Linked DNA regions of Canis lupus familiaris. The protein of the gene in region 1 interacts with the protein of each later gene in a pairwise test. Links are inferred from orthologs where the notes say so. Each region holds a gene or a part of one and is shown on either strand. Other genes may lie near its edges.

Evidence for each region.
Region 2: the proteins of U2AF2 (region 1) and SCAF11 interact in binary tests that used the Homo sapiens proteins (3 or more experiments, as listed by UniProt). The link is inferred for Canis lupus familiaris from reciprocal best matches to the Homo sapiens genes U2AF2 and SCAF11.

What each region holds. Positions count from the first base shown.
Region 1 is NC_049222.1:102,851,815-102,861,771, forward strand, and holds the start of U2AF2 (splicing factor U2AF 65 kDa subunit), read right to left. Parts: upstream 5,531-9,957; coding exon 5,482-5,530; intron 2,289-5,481; coding exon 2,153-2,288; intron 1,421-2,152; coding exon 1,376-1,420; intron 1,086-1,375; coding exon 982-1,085; intron 687-981; coding exon 535-686; intron 1-534. Other genes in the region: CCDC106 (coiled-coil domain-containing protein 106), read right to left, coding at 7,578-7,894, 8,224-8,436, 9,312-9,488, 9,583-9,690, 9,835-9,865. UniProt on the Homo sapiens protein: Plays a role in pre-mRNA splicing and 3'-end processing. By recruiting PRPF19 and the PRP19C/Prp19 complex/NTC/Nineteen complex to the RNA polymerase II C-terminal domain (CTD), and thereby pre-mRNA, may couple transcription to splicing.
Region 2 is NC_049248.1:38,222,055-38,231,790, forward strand, and holds the start of SCAF11 (protein SCAF11), read right to left. Parts: upstream 6,384-9,736; 5' UTR 6,192-6,383; intron 1-6,191. UniProt on the Homo sapiens protein: Plays a role in pre-mRNA alternative splicing by regulating spliceosome assembly.

The sequences.
Region 1 (9,957 bases):
GTGGGGGGGAGGGAGGGGAGAGGAGTGGTGGGGAAGGTTGGGGAGGTCAGGGCCATCAAAACAAAAGAGCAGCGACCACGGGAGGGACGTGGGGAGAGGATGGGAACAGGCGGCAGAGAACCAGAGGTGTGTCAGAGACAACTGAGGGGAGCGTGCGTCTGTGCGTGTGTGCGTGTGTGCGTGTGTGCGTGTGTCAGTGTGCGTGCGCGCGCGCGTGCGAGTCTCCCTCTCTGTCTCTCTCGATACGGACTGGACTCATGGATTTTCGTAGGTTCGTTGTGTGTGCCTTGATCCCTGGGTTGCTGGAGGAGGTTGGGAAAGGGGAGACGGGAGAGGGGAAGAGGAGGGAGGGAGAGGGCCACCCCCAGCCCGGCCCCTGGCTGGCTCAACTCCATCGGTCCGTCGGGGAGGGGGCCGGGGGGCCTTGCAGGAGGCAGAGTCTGACCCGTGCAGGTTGGGGGAGGGGAGGGGGAGAGGGGAGGAATGGGAGGGAACTGGGGAGAGGGCAGGGAAAAGGCAGGGGGTAGGCAGTACCTCAGTGATGCCAAAGGGGATGTTCCCCACGTAGAGGCGCCGGGCCTGTCTGGTCATCTGGCTCCCGACCACGGGCACCGGCGTCGGGGTCACAGCCAGGCCATCAGGGGTCATGGTGGGAAGGAGGGCGGTGGCTGGAATCTGACCCGCCGCTTGGAGAAGGAAGAGCAGGATTAGATGGCAACCTGGCAATCCTCTACACACACATCCCACCCCCAGCACACTGGTGGGAGAGCCTGGATAGGGGAGGAGGCAGCTCCCTGTGGACCAGCCCACACAGGCTCAGCTCCCCATGGGAACCTCACAGCACCTCTTCTGCAGTGGTCAAAAAGGCAAAATCCAGAAAGCCCGGGACACAAACCTTATCCCCCCTGCCCCCCAGCTCAGGATCTGCTCCCTCAACCACCTAGCATGTTCTCCACCAAGGAGGCGACAGCTGAAACCTACCTTGCATGGCCTTGTACTGCATGGGGGTGATGTGCTCGAAGCCAGGCGGGGGGACATCCCAATATTTACGGACCTTCTTCTTCTTCTCATGGCGGGGGGAACGACTGGGAAGGGGGAAGGGAGAGCCGGGCAGGACGACCTCAGTCTGACCAAAGGTGGGCCTGTGAGCACCCCAGGCTCCCCTCAGCTACCCACTAGGAGTGCAGTGCTCTCCAGGAGGGAGAGGATCTGGTCAGGGCTGTACCCAGGCCTCGGGAAGGGTGCTGGTTTCAAGGCAAGTGGAACCTCTTCCCCAGTGCTTGGGCCAGGGCTGGACAAGGACAGGGCAGGGTACACGAGGGCAGGGGCAGAGGGAGTGGACATCAGGGTGGAAGGGGCAGGAAGAGCAGCTCACATCAATCCACCGTGCTCCTCTTTAGCGCCTCTGGTCAAAGGTTTGCTGAGGGATGGGAGGGAAAGGTATGGGGAAGGGTGACTGGGGACCCTCGTTTTCCCCACACGCCACACCTCCCCAAGGGCACAGAGCCCCAGGGCTGGGGGCAGGCCCCCTTGGCCCTGCCATCCCCCCCAAACCCCCAACCCAGGAAAGAGGAACTGTGGAAGGGATGAAAGGCCACACAGATCACTTTCTACTTGGAGAAACTGAAATGTAAGAAGGCAGAACTTCCACCTACCCTACCCTTCCTCGCTTAAGGGGAAAGAAAACAGAGGGGAGGCTAGGGAGGGAAGAAGCATTAGCAAAGCAGATGGCAGCTGGGTTCACAGAGGCTGCCCCACTTTGAGAACCCCTCTTCCCAGGAGGCAGAGTATAGACCCCAGAATACAATCCCAGAAAAACACAGAATAATAATGGGAAAAAGAAACGGGTCCTAGGAGGCAGGGACTGAGCCAGGCCTCGTGAACACAACACAGAAGAGTCAGCACCCTGAATCCAGACTCACCTCCATGATAAAGAACCCAATGCCCCCACCAACCCACCAGAAACTGAAGACTCTAGAAACAGAGTATAAAAAAAAAAAAAAAAAAAAAAAAAAAAAAAAGCCCATATGCAAGACAGACAAGTAACAGACACCTAGACACACACACACAGAGAACTCAAGAGGCCGAAGCACACCAGTGTCTGGGTGCAAGGACACTCCATTCCCAGCCAGGGGTCCCCAAGCCCTGGTACCTTCGTCGCCGCCTGTCCCTGGAGGCACTCCGCTGGTCCCGGTTGCGCCGATCACGGCTCCGGCTCCGGCGCTTGCGGTCCCGGCTTCGCGAGCGGCTGTGGCTACGCTTGCGGTGCCGGTTCTCCTTGTCCCGTTCTGGGCCAGGGGAGGGGGAGGAGAATGAGCTGAGGGAGGACATGGCCCAGCCCACCCACTCACTGGTGGCTATGCCCCGAGCCCCAGGGAACCCACCCCCCAAGGGGAAGGGATTCAGTGGAGGAGGGAATATAGCAGGCTTCCTGGGTCCACAAGCCAGTCCAGGAGCCCTGGGGGTCCCAGGGGACAGGAGCTGGTTACCTGAGGGGACAGAGCCTGGAAATGCCCACGGGGTGTAAGATACCTGAGGATGCTCAGGAGGAGCTGGGGAGCCAGAGAAGACAGAGGAGGCTGGCTCCTGGTCCCCCTCGAGGGCTGAGGGGCCTGACCCCAGGGTCGTCCCTGAGAGGGGCAGGGCTAGAGGCTGGGGAATCAAGAGACCCAATGATGTTTTCCTGAATGAAGGAAACTGGCGACCCCTCAGGAAAGACCTCCTCAACCAGCTGGCACCCACAGCCCCACCATCAGGCCCCAGGGGCAGGTGCAAGGCAGGATCTGGTATCCCCAAGAAGTTAGGACACCTGATGGTCCCTTCCCAACCAGAGAAAGAATGCAAGATGCCCTCTTGTAGGGAGGTGCTCCCTTCTGAATGTGGCCTAGAAAGGGAGGTGCTGGGCCCTGCCTCAAGAGGTAGGGGAGGAGCATGCCCTGCCCCCTACCCCTTGCAGGCCAGATTCCCAAACCACCCTATCCTGCCCACACTCCCTCAAAGCCAACACAAGAGGGACAGGGTCCAGCCCCCTAGTAGGCTCACTCAACCCCTTCAGCCTTGGGGGTGGCGACTAAAAGAACGGAGCACAAGCCTAGCCCGTATAAACCATAGAAAACTCCGCTCAAAAGACCCTGGGAAGGATGTGCAGGCCAAGCTATGAGCACCACGTCACAGCAGGTTTCCTTATTCCTTAACTCAAAGACACCCCTCACCCTCCTCCACTAGCCCCGTTCTATGGACGGATACAGGTAAAGGCAACAAGGACGGGGTGTTAAAGTGGACTTGAGCCTCATCCGTGCTACTTTATGCTGAAACTTTAAACGTCAACTTTCTACAAACAAATCAACTCTAGAACCCATAAAACTAAGGAAAAGCACCTCAGGAAAAAAAAAAAAAAACAGATGAGCAAACACAAGAATACTTCTAAAACCCACCTATACTGCCAATTCTTACAACTGTTTGGAAAAAAACACTACTATTCGTTCAAACAAAAAATATGGAAACGGAGGCACAGAGAGTTCACATAACTTGCTCATAACCAAAAAGCAAAAAGACGGTGAAGACTGAAGGTGAATTCCCTAATGTTAGCAAGTACAGCTAATCATCACCTGGGCAGACTCAACTCAGGACAGGCAAAGCTGCTGTAGTCCACCCAGAACCACTAGTAACAATGTTATCTCTCTGAACACGAATAAATAAAACCTAAACCAGACACTTGAAGCAAAGAAGAGCAGCAAAGAAACACACCAGCATGGCAGGAGGCTGTGGGGCTGCGGGCCTCTGGCGGCAAGCTTATAAAATGAGCAAGCTGAGGCTCTGAAACAAACAAAACAAGCGGGCAGAAGAACCAGGGGAGAGGAAGCAGTGATGCCTGCTGGGAGCCTGCAACCACACAAGGAAACTAATTCTCCGAGGACACACCTGCCCGACGCTGGGTCTGAAGGGCTCTCAGAGGGCTGAAGGCCTCACTCAGGCTGGTCCAGAGACCCACCCACAGGCAGGGCAGACGTGCACGGAGCTTCCTGCCTCCCCACACACAGATATCCCGGACAAAGAAAACAGAAAAGGTGCTTCAGTTGTTCAGAAGTCTGTGGCTGCATTGTGCGCACAGCTCCACCAACCCAGGGGCCGTGCAGGGCTGAGGGCCTGGCCTCCCAGCGCCAGGAAGAACCGAGGCACACATCTGCGATTGCCTAAGGAGCTCAGGCAGGTCCACCTGGCAGCCCCGCCACCAACCACACTCAGGTGGACTTCTGCTCTGTACGGGTATGAAACCGCCCAGAAGCCAACAAACCTTCCTGTGAACAAGGGTCCCACCTAACCCAGGTGTGTGGGGACCTGGCAGAAAGGCACTAGGAGAGCACTCTCCCCGCCGTGGTCCTCTCCAGGTCCTAGGATGACATCACCCCGAGAATAACTGCACAGTGGCCAGTAGATCGCTTCCTCCGCCCTTAGCGTAGACCCCGTCACAAGCTTCTACGCGCTACCCCCACGTAAACTCCGCCCGGCCTTGTCACAGCTAAGGCCTGAGAAACCTGTTTCCCCCTCTACGGCAAGAAAAATATCTCTCGAGCCTCGCAAGGATGCACTTGGCAAGCGCTCGAGGTCTGACCTCCACCGTAGTTACGACCGCCCTCCCTCGCCCACAGACTCAGGGACAAGGCACCGAGCCGCTGTACAGCCGTGAGAGCGGCAGGGCCGCCGGGACGGGAGCCCAGGACGCCCGGCTGCACGTGGCGCAGAGACCGACGCCACCCGGGGCAGGCCCTCCCGCCCGCCGGCGTCCCTCCCACGAGCAGTCGAGGCAGACGGAGCGCGGCAGCGCCCACCGCCTGTGCCCGTCGGAAAACCCGCGGCCCCGCGCCCCGACAGCTGTGTGGGATGACGTGCCCCCGCCACCTCCAACCCGGGTCGGGACACGCACGAGTGTCCTCTCCCGCAAAAGGTACCGCGACACGCTCACTGCCCCGGGCCGGCGTCCCCCCCGACCCACGCCCACGTGGGGAGCTCGCAACGGCCATTTTGGGACAAAAGGGGCGTGGAGACCCGGGCCGCGGGCCCGGCCAGAAGCGGAAGTGCCGGGACAGCGGGAAAGAAAGGAAGCACTGCGGGACCTAATACACATAAAACCTATTTTCAGATTTTAAAAAAAATTTTTTTAAATATATGGGAGTGCTTAGTCCGCCAGGGAACACCCAGCGAGCCCGCGGGCCCGCGCCGCCTCCACCGCGGACCACGTGGGGCGCAAAGCGGAGCGCGCCGCGCATGCGTCCGGGACCCGCGCCCGCGGCCCCCTCCCCTCCCCTCCCCTCCCGCGCGCGGCTGCATGCCGGGTGGTCACGTGAGCGAGGCGCGCGGCGAAGTGGGGGGGAGCGCCGCGCGGCCCTGAAAGGAGGGGGAAGAGCGGGGGAAAATGGCGGGGGACACGGAGAGAGGCCAGGAACCGACCCGCCCGCCGCCCTGCGCCCCCGGCGCCCTCACCTTGCTTATTCTCGTTGAGCTGCCGCTCGAACTCGTCGAAGTCCGACATGCTGAGACGGCCGCGTAAGGGCCCTGTGCAGCTCTGGCCTCGCCTTGCCGCCCGCCCGCTCCGGCCCCTTCGGCTACTTCCGCCGCTCGCTTCGGCTACTTCCGGCCGCCGCCGGCGCTCCGCCGCCTCCTACTTAATCAAGCCCGGGCCGCCCGCCCCGCCCCTGCTCCGCCCCTCTCCCCGCCCGCCCACCCGCGACGCGCCCCTCCCCCCAGAGCCGGGCTCCAAATAGCGTCGGCTATTTCCGGGCAGTAGAAGGAATCGGGAGCAGCGGCTTCGGCTGCCTCCGAAAACACCCGAAGCGAAGACTTCACCGGCTTCCCAAGCTATCGTAACTTTTCGTAAACTAGCTCTTCAACGTTCGGGTGTTTCCGTAGGTCCGCGCGTTCCTCTGCGCCTACCCCCCCCCCCGAGGGGTTCGGCTTCTTCCGACAATTCAAACCGTCCCAGTCTTTGGCTGCTTCCGCAGATACTGCCCGCTCCTCTCCGCCGGCTCTATCCAAGCAATCAGCTATTTCCGACAATCCTAACACTCTCGGACTCCTGCGCTTTCTGAAGGTTTCCAGCGAGGGCTCTCGGACCCAGCCGAAGGATTAAACCCGACGCCAAGCTTCGGCTCTTTCCGGATAGTACACTTACTCCTCCCCTGCCGGTAAACTTCGGCTCCTTCCGCCACCGCTTCGGGAAGGCCTCACGGCAGATAGCTTCGGTTTTTTCCGTCGGCGCTTCGGCTCCTTCCGGCTTCGGGAACGGAAAAAGGGAGGGAGGACAGAGATGAGGTTGGTCAGGAAAAGGGATACAGAGAAAGGGCGAGGTCCCGGCTCTCTGCACTTGGCTCTCCGGGTGGGAAGAGTGGAGGAAAAGAAGGGCGGATTTCGCGGAGGGCCTAAAAAGCTTGCGCGAGACAAAAGCAGCCGGCGGGGTGAAGGGTGCGCGCGGCCGCTGCGGAGGTTGCCAGCGCGGCTTTGTGCGCCTGCGCAGAGGGGCAGAGGAGGGGCGCGAGATGGGCTTCTGCGCTTGCGTAGAGGTTGGTCTGAGGCGCGGTTTCTCACTGTTTGGGAGGTGAGCGGGTTCCAGAGGCCCCAGCACGCGTGCGCGAGACTTTCCCTTACTCCGGGGAAGGTACTGAATTTTAGTCCGTTAAGCACAGCGGCCTTCTCCTGGTTGCTGTAGCAACTGTGTAAGCACGCTCGCGCCCCTCCTGCAGCGCAGGCGCAGTAGGCGACGTAGAGGGCACTTCCGGAAGACCGGTAATTGACAGTACCGCCTCCTGGCGGGCGGGCGTGGTAGCTTCCATCCAGACCTGTCGTTCCCTGCCCCCACCGCCGCGGCCTGTCCCGCGTCCCCCGCCGCCCGCCGCCGTCGCGCCTCTGTTGGAGCTCACCGGGGGGGGGGGGGGGGGGGCGGTGGCCCCTCCAAGCTCTCCGGGGCACGGCTGCTGCTCCTTCTCCCGCCCCTGCCGTGCCGCTGGGGGTGCTAATTACGTCCTGTCTCCCCAAGCTCCGGTTCCCTGCCTAACCGCCCGCCCCATACAACTCCCCGGAGCTCCCGTCACCATCTCCGCGGCAACGGACACCCCCTCTAAGAAGAGGCCGGGCCGAGTTTATTCCAAATTTTATTGTCTCTCTTTAATTTAAATCCTCTGAATAATTATTCGTCCGGAATGCGGGTGGAGAGCTCCTGGCAGAGCCGGCCAGCCTCTCCTCGGGGCTGGGATGGGGACGGGCTATGTACAGTGAGTGCCTGGCCCCGCGGAGAGTCTCGCAGTCACCCCAGGAAGCAGGGGCCCGCCGGGGCAGAGGAGGGGGCCAGTGCTGGGGAAAGGCAGAGCCCTGCGCGGCGGCTCCGGTGAGCCCAGCTAAGTAGACGCCCCTCCCCGGGGAATGCAGACGAAGGAGAAGGTGCCAGGGACGGGAGAGGAGAGGAGGGGGCCAGTGACCTGGGTGGGAAATACGCCGCCAGCCCCTAGGCTCTCGGGAGGAGCACACCACTCATGCACACGCCCGCCCGGTGCCAGGAGGGGCACGGAGGGACAAGTAGGGTGGGATCACCGCTTGAAGCGGTAGGTGATGGGCAACAGCAGCTTGCTCTTCTTGAGAGCCTGCACCTTCTTGAGGGTCTCGTCGTCCAGGGCCAGGAAGCAGCGGCGCGAGTACTCGAGCAGACGCTCCTTGGAAGGGTCGAACTCGCCTACCTCCGCCAGCTTCTCCGGGGCCACGATGAGCAGCTCCGCGATGGGCGTGGTCAGCGCCACCGTGTTGCGGTCTACGCGGTGGTGCTCAAAGGCCCGGGACATGCTCTTCAGCTTCTGGAAGGTGCCCAGTATCTTCTTGTAGCGGCAGAGGACACCGTCTGCATCCTTCACTGCAGGGCAGAGAGAGTGACGTGAGGAACAGGGATGGGGCAAGGACAGACAGGGAGCCCAACACAGGGAGAGCCAGGGAACACCGCAGAAATCAAGAGGACAGGAGATGCTGGGAGACATAGAGACAGTGGGACAAGTGGAAAATAGGAGAAGGCAGGCCCAGGGAGGAGGATCCGCAGCCCAGCTGAGGCTCAGATCCAAAGTAAGACCCCATGATAGGCTGGGACACACAACCAGGCCAGGGGAACAGGAAGGGCCTCCCCACGGTCACAGCAAGCCCCCAGCCCAGAACCCCTGAGCTCCCACACCCTGCATGCGCCTTGCTCACCCCGCTGCCTCTCCCGGGCCTTGGGCTTCCCAAAGCGCCTCCGGCCAGCACCTCCCTTCTGCTTCTGCCTCTTCCTCTCCATCGTACTGCCTTCTTCAGACACTCCACTGAGCGAGGAGGCCGCTGACTCCGGGTCTGAGGCCTCGCCCCCAGCCCCACCCCTGCCATCCCCCTCAACCCGCCTGGACCCAGGCTTCACCCGGCAGTGATCCTCTGGAGAGAGGTAGAGAGAGAGAGAGAGAGAGACCCATACACATGAACTTCCAGAACAGGAGGCAGAAGGAGGCAAGAGACTATCTCCAAGGTGGGGATGGTGTCACATCACACATGGTGGTAGGGGCTTCAACTGGGCCCGACTGGAGCCCCCAAGACAAACAGAAAATGCAGTATAGATGCTGCAGTTCCCACCAAGATGACTGGACACAGTACACTTGGTTGGATTTGGGGGTAAAGATCACAGGTGGGGCATGGTTTCATGCTCCTCTGACTCCTTAACTTTAGGGCAAGAGGTGGGGGGAAGGACTGAGAGGACCAAGACAGGACCAGACACCTCCGAGACTCTCTGACCACAGGCTCCCACAGTGGAGGAGGGGTTTTCTGGGGACTCAGTGGGACCTCACTGAAAAAGTCCAGAGGGCCCTTGGGCCCCACCATCCTAGTTTGGTTCCCATCAGCACCCTGGGCCACAGGTGGTTCCAGAGCAAAGGGGTCCCCAGTAACACAGATGCTGAGAAAACAGAGCCCTTGCCCAGGCTGTCAGGTGATTCACAGGGGGATATGGAGTCCTGGGAAAGAGCCAGGCAAGGGCTGAACATCATGCAGAAGGGAGAAGTTAGACTCCCCAAAACAGGGAAGTTAGACTTCCCAAAGATTTGGGAAAGGAAAGCCCTGACATGGCCACAGGGTCCTGCCCATCAGCAAAGGCAGGAGTCAGGAAGGAAGCAAGCTGATCTTTGGGGTCTGGGAGATGGCCTGGGGAGCAGGGAAAGGACAAAAGATGCCAAAGGAGAAGAGTAGGTGAGGAAGGGTCATGAATCCCAGAGGAGGGCCAAAGCAGACATGAGGGACCAGCTCCTCAGGCACCTGACCTGCATCCATGCGGGCAGAGGATATAAACTTGTCTAGCTGACACCGCAAGAAGTCCCTCTCCTCCTCCAGGTCCTCAATGCGCTTCTGTAACCAGGAGTTCCTCTCCAGGGCCATGTGCAGCTGGGCCCTGACACCATTCATCAGGGCTACTGTCGGGGATGGGGCCTCCGGAGACTCTAGGGACAGGGGGGGGAGCCTTGGTCACACCCAAGGCCTCCAGGGCCCTATACCCCAGACGGCTGGGGTCCCTCCACGCCGCCCCCAGCTCACCCTCGAAGTTTCCCCGAGAGGGGCTCAGACTGTAAAAGATCTGTGGGTCTAGGTGGGGCGTCTCATCGAAGGGGATGGAGATCTCGAAGGCCTCATCGTCTTTCTTCACTGGAGAGGAGAGGCCAGGGGTCACCCCAGGGAAGGCACCTGGGACCAGCCCCCAACCACAGCAGCCCCGGTGAGGGAGGGGACAGGGTGGTAGGGGACAGGGAGGGGAGCTCCAAGGGTGGGGCAGGGTCCCAGCTTCCTCACGTGTCCTCCTCCGGCTGTTTGGGTCATTCATGGCGTGGCCTCCTGTGGACCCAGGCAGCTGAGCGCCTCAGGGGCACTGGACAGAAAGGAGAGCCGCAGATGGAGGCACATCTCAGAGGAAGT
Region 2 (9,736 bases), on another chromosome or scaffold:
TCTGAGAACTCTCTGGTAAAAGGGAAAATAAGGAAGATTAGTATTATCACTAACAGATGTGAGAGTCTCAAGAGGACTTAAATTTTAAAGGTGAGGACATATTTGATCATAATTTTCACAAGTTTTGGTGTGATAATCTTTTATAAAAACAAATGAGCACAATCTTTAAGAAAAATATGTCTGCATGTTGGTAGTCTGCCTGGAGGTGTTGGAGCCCAAGTTACTGAGCAAGGTGTCCATGTGAAGATTGTTGAGGGAGCCCAGAGGTACTGGAACTCAAGAAGAATGGTGAGATCCTCAATATGAGGTATGGTGAGGGGCCTAGAGTGAGGAATGCATCTTGGCACAAGGCAGCAGAGCCTTGAGAAGAATGAAAATATTACCCAACTCTGGAGAAGAAGCAACAGTGACAATAGAATTTGGCTACACCTTGGTGACTGATCATAAGTAAACACACTAAGGATACTGGAAGTCAGGCTTCCCCTTAGAAGAAAGCAATAAATCTGGAAAGGGAGAAAATGAAAACACCGGAACTGGAAAAATTGGTAATAGCCCATGGTTTTTTATATATATACAGAAATAAATCTTGGCTTTCTAAACATCTTTCTCCACTAAAAGAAATCACTCCTTGGAGAAATGGATGATTCTAGGGTTACAACAGGGAAAGTACGTACAAGGTAACCCTGGAACATTTTCTTGTGTCAAACAGTAAGGAAGTGCTCAAAGCAAGTCAAAAGAACAAAGAAAGCATTTGAAGGGGCTTTCACTGGTCAAAGCTGGGACAATTTGATAATAAATAGCAAATCTGATGAAGAATGGGCTATTTATAAAGTCTGAAAATGCGTCCCACAAAATACTTATTGATTACTAAGAGGAAAAAAAAAAAAAAAACTTGGGTGAAGAAGCTTGGGAAACTTCATCTTAATCAAATGATCAAAGTGTACATCATCAGTAATGGCACAAAAAGAAAATTGTATGCCATCCAATAGGATGCAATGAGAACACAGCATCATTGCTGAGACACTCCTGCACAATTTGAACCCAGCCATAAGGAAATACTAGGCAAATCTAAATTGAGAGACATTTAACAACAAAACTAACCTGTAATCCTTTGACGTGTCAAGGTCATGAAATTTAAGGAAAAACAAGGGATTGTTCTAGGTTGAAGGAGTGTAAAAAGACATTACAATTAAATGCAACGCAGGACTCTAGACTGGATCCTCTTCTTAAATGAAACTACTATGCAAACTGGCAAAACCTAAATGAGGTCTGAGAGTTAAATTGTAATAATATAGTGATGTTAATTTCCTGATTTTGATATATTTATATAAAAGAAAGTCCTTATCCTGGGTTTGGGGCTATGAGAAGGCATCGTAACTTACTCCCAAATGGTTCAGGGTTTGAAAAAAACTTCGTACTTGTACTGGGGCCTTAGCGGGATGGTGTCTGAAACTTATTCTCAAATGGCTACGGGGAAAAAAGTCTTTTGTATTCTACTTGAACTTTTCTGAAAGTTTGAAATTGTTTTTAAAAAAGAAAAAGTTAATTTACAATGTTCATTTATAGCACCTAAAACTAGCATATAAGTAAAACAGTACTCTTCCCAAATAAATATGTTTCCACCTCTTCTAATTATGACTCTGCTTTATTATTTATGAGGTTCTTAATGACTTTTGATCTATATCTGCACCATAACGACTACTCAGTTCCTTGGTCGCGCTGGCCATATTTCAAATGCTCAACAGCCACATTAGCTACTACTGTATTGGCAGTACACACACTTCGATCATCACAGAAAAGTCTACTACTAGATAGCGCTGACCTAGAGTTTGAGAGGCCAACCCACAGACACAATGAATAACTAAAGACTAAAGGCCCAAGAGTCAAACGGACTTGAGTGTATATTCTTAACAAGTGCTCTGACACTTAGCAAGTCATATAACTTCTCTAGAGCCTCAGACTCCTTTCCATAAAAAGGATTAACATACCCAACATAGCAAGGCTACTGAAAAGGTCAAATGAAAATTTATGTAAAATGTCTAAAACAGAGAGGGTGGCACACAGGAAATATCCAACAAACATTAGGTCTCTTCTGTAATGTAGACAGCTAATTTCTTAATGTTTGATCTCAGTTGTTTTTTTTTTTTTAATCTACTTCAGCAATTACAGGAGCATCAATTGGAAAATAAGAAACTTACTACCTTGCTTATTCAAAGGCCAATGAGCTCCTTGTTAAATTCAGTGAAAAGTCTTTTAGCTCTTGGGGCACCTGGGTGGCTGAGTCCTGCTTAAGTGCTTAAGCATCCCCACTCTTGATTTCGTATCAGGTCATGATCTCAGGGAGGTGAGATCAAGCCCACCGCCAGGCTCCACACCGGGCATGGCACCTGCTTACCATTTTATCTCCCTCTGCACCTCCCCTCTTTCTCTCTCGTCTCTAAAAAAAGAAAAAAAAAAAAAAAAAAGCAAAATCTTAAAACTCTTACATTACTCAACTCTCATCAACACTGGAATCTACTGATTACTCTTCCTTGAAATACTCTCTTCCTTTAGTTTTTGTAATATCACACTCACCTTGTACTTCTCTGATCTTCACAGTAGTTTTGGGGAACTTCCATTCACCCAAGCAAACTTTTTTTTTTTTTTTTTAATGTTATAGGCCACTGTGATTCCATTCCAGTTATAGTCCCTCCCTTAGGCAATTCCACCTATAGTTTCAACTACCTACATAAGTGACACCAATTTTCTATTCCAAGCACAATTCCTCTGAAATTTAGAACCATATTATCTAATTGCCTACAGAAATTTCCATCTGAAAAGTTCCAGAGGTACTTTAAATGCAAGATGTCAGAATCAAAAGAACCTTGAACCCTATGTGGTATTACCATCAATCCAGCTGTTTCCTTGAGTTGATGGTTCAAATTTCTGTCCTTCACTTTCCATTCATCAACAGAGGCCTGGTGATCTCTTGTTTTGTCCCCAAATACTGGCACAATGTCTAATACGTAGTAGGTGCTTAGTAAATATTTAATGGATTTTAAACAGAAAGACAATTATACCACTCTACCCTTAGCTAAGTATTCTTATTTCCAACTATATCCTGATAAATCAGTTTCAAGTTCACATTCTATATATGCTTCTTTAAAAATGTCCCCTGAACTGAATATAAAGCAGAGACCCAAGTAACTATGCAAAAGAGTGAGAGCTGGGTAATGTTTCAAACCATAATTACTATCTTTAAAGTTTTAACGTTTCCAGCAGAAAGGAGATTAATCAAATATTTACTAAGCACCTACTACGTATTAGGCATTGTGCCAGCATTTGGGGACAAAACAATGGCCCAAACTGACAAACCCTGTTCTCACAGAACTTTCATTAAAGTGAAGAAGAAATACAATAAACTTAAGATAGTAAATTATACAGTATGTTAGAAAGTGATAAATGCTATGTAGAAAATGTGGCTTAAAAAGTGGTAGGAAATGCGGGAGGAAGGTTTGGTTTTGACAGAGCAGTCAGAGAAAACTTATGTAGGAGAGTAGAAGTCAGTTGGACAAAGAATGAGGTAATCAAGTCGAGAGAGGAAGACGAGACTCAAAACACTCACAGCCTGGTAAACCATGGACTTGGATTTTACTATGAGAAGGGAAGCCAGTTAAGAAGAAAAGTAACATGATTTGACAAATTTCATCAGGATCACTCTGGCAGTTGAGCGTAAAAGACCATATAGGTAAGCAAAGGTCATAGTGAGACTTTTTAGGAAACTATTTTGCAAGTAAGAGAGGATGGTACTGTTTTCACATTTTACAGTAGAACCATATCTGCCTAAGTACTAGAATTAACAAATCTACGACTTTTAAAGAAAGACAACAATGACAATACAAAAATGAGTCTTGGTAATAATACCAAGAGAATACTAGGTATTTTAACTCTGAGCCCTACTCAGTGCTACTACCAGTTAGAATACAGATGCAAGATAAGGTGCAAACCTGCTAATTTATTCTTTCAGATAGAGAGTATAACTAAGAATTTAGGTTTGAAGCTTCTTTATTTCAGTGGGCAAGGTAAGTCAAGATCCAACACACATCACTTAAAGGTAAGGGTAGATGATGATGGTAGAGCTTGCAAAAGGGAAGTTAAAATGAAAATCATTCTAAGGCTGAGATTTTATTACCTCTATCTCTGCCACTCTCTTTAGTTAGGCTTTATAATTATCTCATTGGTGTATCTAAAAAGCTCAGTGTTAAGTCGGTGAGTAGTAGTGTACTCTCCTACTATTAAAACATGCTACTAATGGTGAATCAACATCAGCCAACTGCACGGTTTCCTCCTATAACAGCACAGCTTTTCAGGAAAATTGCCTAAACACAGGCTAGTGCCCAAAAAATAATGGGGAAGCTGGGTGACCCCTGAAGAGTTTCAGTCTTAACTCATGGATCCCACTGCCATTACCTAAAGACGTGACAAAACAAATCACGCTTAAAGTTTTCTCCATTACACGTTTCAGGCAGGCAATATATTTACCAACAATTTTCTCTTTGCCTCTACAGTTTTATTCCCCCTTGACATATCGAAAAATGTTTTTACAGCGTGAGTACACTGGAAGTAAGCAAACATCCTAATCTTATCCGACCAAAATCTTAAAATGTACTCAAAATCCTTTAAAAAAAAAAAAAAAAAAAAAAAAGCATACTCAAACTCTCAGGCAGAAAGGTCACCATCTGAACGTACACTGATTAATATACTTGCACCAAAAAAAAAAATTATAATGAAAAAGTGCAGCTACAGTTGAGAATAACTTTAAAAACTCCTATGGCATAAACTAAGCATATAAAAAGTAAATTCAGATTATCTTCCAGAGAAGAGTATAAAACAAACTCAAAGCCAATGCCAAATCTTTATCTGCTCAATCAATCAAAGCAACAAAAATTAAAATCCCACAAACTTCTTTACTGCAGCTTTTAACCAACGGCCAAAAAAAAGAAAAAAAAAAAAGGGGGGGGGGGGACGATTTAAGGCAACTGCCAAAAAAACAGGAAAGAGAAAGCGGCGGTCTAGAGATTTGAACCTTATCAAAATTGTAATACAATTAATTACCAATAAAAACAAACAACAACACAAAAACCACCAGTTACTGAAGAATGTTTCGCGTCCCATATTCTGAGGGAAGGAGCCACATGCTTGAATTAAGTTTCTAGAATGAAAACTGCATCTCTTCCTTCATTAGGCTTTTCCTGATTTTCCAGTGGGGGATTAAAAAAAAAAAAAAAATTCCCCACAATGGGAAAACCTAAGGCCAGCGTCCACCGGCCAAACCTTAAGGACCTCCTGAGCAGTTTCCCCCTAAACCCCTCGGCTCACGGAGGGCGTGCGGGGACGTTAGCTGCTAACACGGCCCGGGATTAAGGAAGACCGCGCGGTGTGGACGCTACGAAAATCCTCCACAGAAACCCGCTGAGGGGGGGCGGGGGTGGGGGGGGGAACTCTCACGATTTCAACACTTCCATCTGTATTCTAACCCGACTACTTCAACCGGGCGTTTACTTCCAAAGCAGGTTTTCCAAAATACGTGAGGGGGGGGAGGGGCCGGACGGCCCGCGCGATCCCCAAAGAAACGGGATCCCGGTAGGTGCGAGCGAGGAAGGGAGGGCGACGCATCCGGAGAAGTTCAGATCCGGCCCTTTTGTTGTCAGCCCAGGAAACGGGCTGAAAAGTCGAGGGGGTGGGGGTGGGGGTGGGGGTGGGGGGAGAAGAGTTTGAAATTCGGGGCGGGGGGGGGGGGGGGGGGGGGAGCGCGGCCGCCTCGCCCGCCGCCTCGGCCCGTCCGCGCGGAGGTCACGGCGCCGTGAAGTTTGGTCTCACGCGCGGGCCGGGACGCGGCTGACAAAAGCCAAGTCTCCCAAGTCTCCCAAGTCGGGGGGGCGGGCGTCGCGGCGCCGCGGGCAGCCTCCGCGGGCTCGGGCGGCGGGCGCGGGCCAGGCCCCGGCCCCGGGGTGCGGACGGCGCGGCGGCCGGAGCGGGGCCTCCCGGCGGGGCGGCGGCGACCAAGGGGCCCCCCCCGCCTCCACAGGCGGCTCCAACTTTCCTCCCGGCGCGCGACGCCGCCTGGGCCGCGCGCAACCCGCAAACTTCGCGCGCCCGCCCGCCCCCCGCCCGCCGGAGCCCGCCCGCCCCCGCGGCCGGCCCGCGTTTACCTCAGGCCGAGGTGGAGGCGCTCGCTCCGGCGGGTCCCCGTCACGACGCCAAGTTCCCCAACATGGACTCCGCGGCCCGCTCGGAGTTGTCGCCGGGGGCGCCGGGTCGGGAGGCGGCGAGAGCGGCCCCGGGCTGCGCTGCTCCGCGCGACTTGCGCCACCGCTGCTCCCCCTCCCCCCGCCTTGTCTGGCCTCCTCCCTCCCCTCCCCTCCCCTCCCCTCCCCGCGCGTGCCCTCCCCCTCCTCCCTCCTCCCCCCTCCCCTCCGCTCAGCCGCGCCGCCACATGTCGGCGCGCTACGGTGACGACGGCGGCCGCGGCGGCGGCGGCGGCGGCGGCGGCGGCGGCCCAACCCGCCGCGCTCCCTGCCTCGCTCGCTGGGCCCCCGCGCGCGGCGCTGCAACGCTCCACCGGACCACTGGGGGGCGCCGGCAAACCACCCTTAGCGTCTCAGGAACGTGGCGGGCGGAGTGACGTCACGCGGCCTGTGAGCGGGAGGGAGAAGGGCGGCGAGCGGCGCGGGCTTCTGGGAAACGTCTCGCGCGCGCTGTCATCCTCCCTCCCCCGCCCCCTCCCCGCTGCGGACTGTGCGCAGGCGCCGTGAGGGAGGCGCTGCTCGGGCGGCGGACAATGCAGGCGGCCCCTGGGGGCCTGGGCGCGAGGTGGTTTGCGTGGCGCTTGCCGCCCTGTCGTTATGGTAACCGGGTAGCGGAGAGCGTCCTTCGGCTGCTGGGAGGTGGGGCGAGTCCTGCTCACCTGAGACACGCCCTCCGGGGAGGTGGGCGTGCGGGAGACTTGGAGCCCCCCTCCCCCGGCCTCCTCCTTCCCTCCCGGCGGGCGTTTAAAAGGTGCGGGGGGGACAGGTTCCCCCCGGGCCCCCCGGGCCCCCCGAGCCTACGCGCGACCGCGCGTCTTATTTCCAACAACAAAGAAACTTGCTGATGATTAACTTGGAGGCGGGCCGTGCGCTCCGGGCCCCGCAGGGCGACAGGTCGGCCGCCGCGACGGGAGCAGGTGCGCCTCGTGGATCCCCCGCCGGGGCCTGGGAGCCGCGGCCTCACCCTCGCACCGGCGGCTATTTTCAAAGCTCCGGACTCTTCAACCTCGTGGTTGTCCCTCCGGGCGGCGTCTGCGCGCGCCCGAGCGCCCTCCCCGCGCCCTCCCCGCGCCCTCCCCGCGCCCTCCCCGCGCCCTCCCCGCGCCTTCCCCGCGCCCTCCCCGCGCCCGCCGCCTCTTGGCGCAGGCGGCAGCCCCGCGGGGCGGAGCCCAGGAGCCGGGCCGGCCAGCTGCGCCGCGCGTCCCTAACCCCGCTCGCTCGCTGCCCGGCTCCGCTGCGCCGCTCCCCCGGCAGGCGCCCTCCCCCCGCGCACCCCCCGCGGACGTCTCGCTGCCCGCCTCACCACCCCACTGTGGGCCCGGGGACAGCGTCTCCCTTTGATAACAACCGCTCCTGGCCCAGGGCCTGTCACTCCATGAAAACTCGACAAGGAGTTGCTGGAGGAGTGTGTGAACGGCAGCCTTGTCCCTATCTCAAAGTCTCGGGGGGTTCACGTTGTGCAGTTTTTTTGATACGAGGTGTGGGGCTTCCGATGGGCTTTGCTGTGTTTGGAAAATGTGAAGGAATCGCGATCTAGAGGAGTTCACTTCCCCCCCCCTCCCCCCCCCCCCCCCCCGGAAGAACAAAATTTTTATGAAACGTCTTTCCCTGTCACTCTCAGAGGGAAGAATGCCCTAAAATTACAAGGTCAACGAGGACAGTGACGAGCCCTCCCAACAGAATGAGTGTAGCTTTGTCGTGTATAGAGGATAGGACCTCCAGGAGTGTAGCTTCAGGTGGAGGCTAACGGGGCAACGTTCTCCTGTAGGTATTTTACGTGAAAATCTATTTATTTGTTTAAAAAAAGTAGTCCTTGGGGATCCCTGGGTGGCGCAGCGGTTTGGCGCCTGCCTTTGGCCCAGGGCGCGATCCTGGAGACCCGGGATCTAATCCCACGTCGGGCTCCCGGTGCATGGAGCCTGCTTCTCCCTCTGCCTGTGTCTCTGCCTCTCTCTCTCTCTGTCTATCATGAATAAATAAACAAAAAAATAAATAAATAAATAAAGTAGTCCTTAAAATTCAATTAAAGGTCAAACGATCATATCTGCCAATAGAAAACCATAATTTCGGGATCTCTGGGTGGCGCAGCGGTTTGGCGCCTGCCTTCGGCCCAGGGTGTGATCCTGGAGACCCGGGATCGAATCCCACATCGGGCTCCCGGTGCATGGAGCCTGCTTCTCCCTCTGCCTATGTCTCTGCCTCTCTCTCTCTCTCTCTCTCTCTCTCTCTCTCTCTCTCTCTCTCTCTCTCTCTGTGACTATCATAAATAAATAAAAAAATTAAAAAAAAAAAACCATAATTTCGGGATCCCTGGGTGGCCCAGCAGTTTAGTGCCGCCTGCAGCCCAGGGCGTGATCCTGGAGACCATCGGGCTCCCTGCATGGAGCCTGCTTCTCTCTCTGCTTGTGTCCCTGCCTCTCTCTGTGTGTCTCTCATGAATAAGTAAATAAAATCCTTTAAAAAAAAAAAACTATAATTCTAAAAAAGACCATACCATTTCCACAAAACTAAACAATGGGAATACCCCCCCCCCCGCCCCCCAGGCCATTTCTCCCTTGTTTTATCATTTTATTTTATTTTGTTTTCATCATGATAAATATACTTTTTAATCCCTACCCACGTCCCCTTTGGTAACAATTAGTTGTCTATAGTTAAAGAGTCTGGTTTGTCTTTTTCCCCTTTGCTCCTTTGCTTACTTAAATGCCACATATGAGTGAGATCATATGTTATTTCTCTTTTTCTATTTCATTTAGTTTTATACTCTCTAGCTCTATTCATGTTGCAAATGGCAAAATTTCATTATTTTCTATGGACTGAATAATATTCCATCGTGTATATGGACCACATTCTCTTTATCCATTCGTCTGTTGATGGACGCTTGGGTTGCTTCCATAGTTTGACTATTGTAAATAATGTTGTAATAAACATAGGGGTGCCTGTGTCCCTTTGAATTATTGTTTTTGTATTTTGGGGGTGAATACCCAATAGTGTGCTTACTGGATCATAGGGTGGTTCTATTTTCAGTTTTTGGAGGAACCTCCATACTGAAGAATATGAATTTTTAAATATTTTCTCTGGCGGATAATTAATTTTCCACCTTTTTTAGAGTTGGACTCCTAGGTATTATGTGAGAATGTTTTAAGCGGGGAAAAAAAGGCTCTTAACGCTAATGTACTAGTGGTTTCTACTTTCATGTGCAAATAGAAAAGAGGGTGGTGATCTGTAATAGGTCATCTCTTGCCTCCCCGGGGAAAACACTGTATTTCTTTACCTGCAGCATCCTCCTAGTTATGTTTGCATGTGAGGATTTGTTACTCTCTCTGTGGTTTCAATATTTTTTATTTACAGGGTAATAAAGAGATACAGTTTTAAATAAGTGATGAACTATAAAATGCAGGAGTAAAGATTGATATATAGCAATCATCACTGTCAACATTTAGATTTGATTA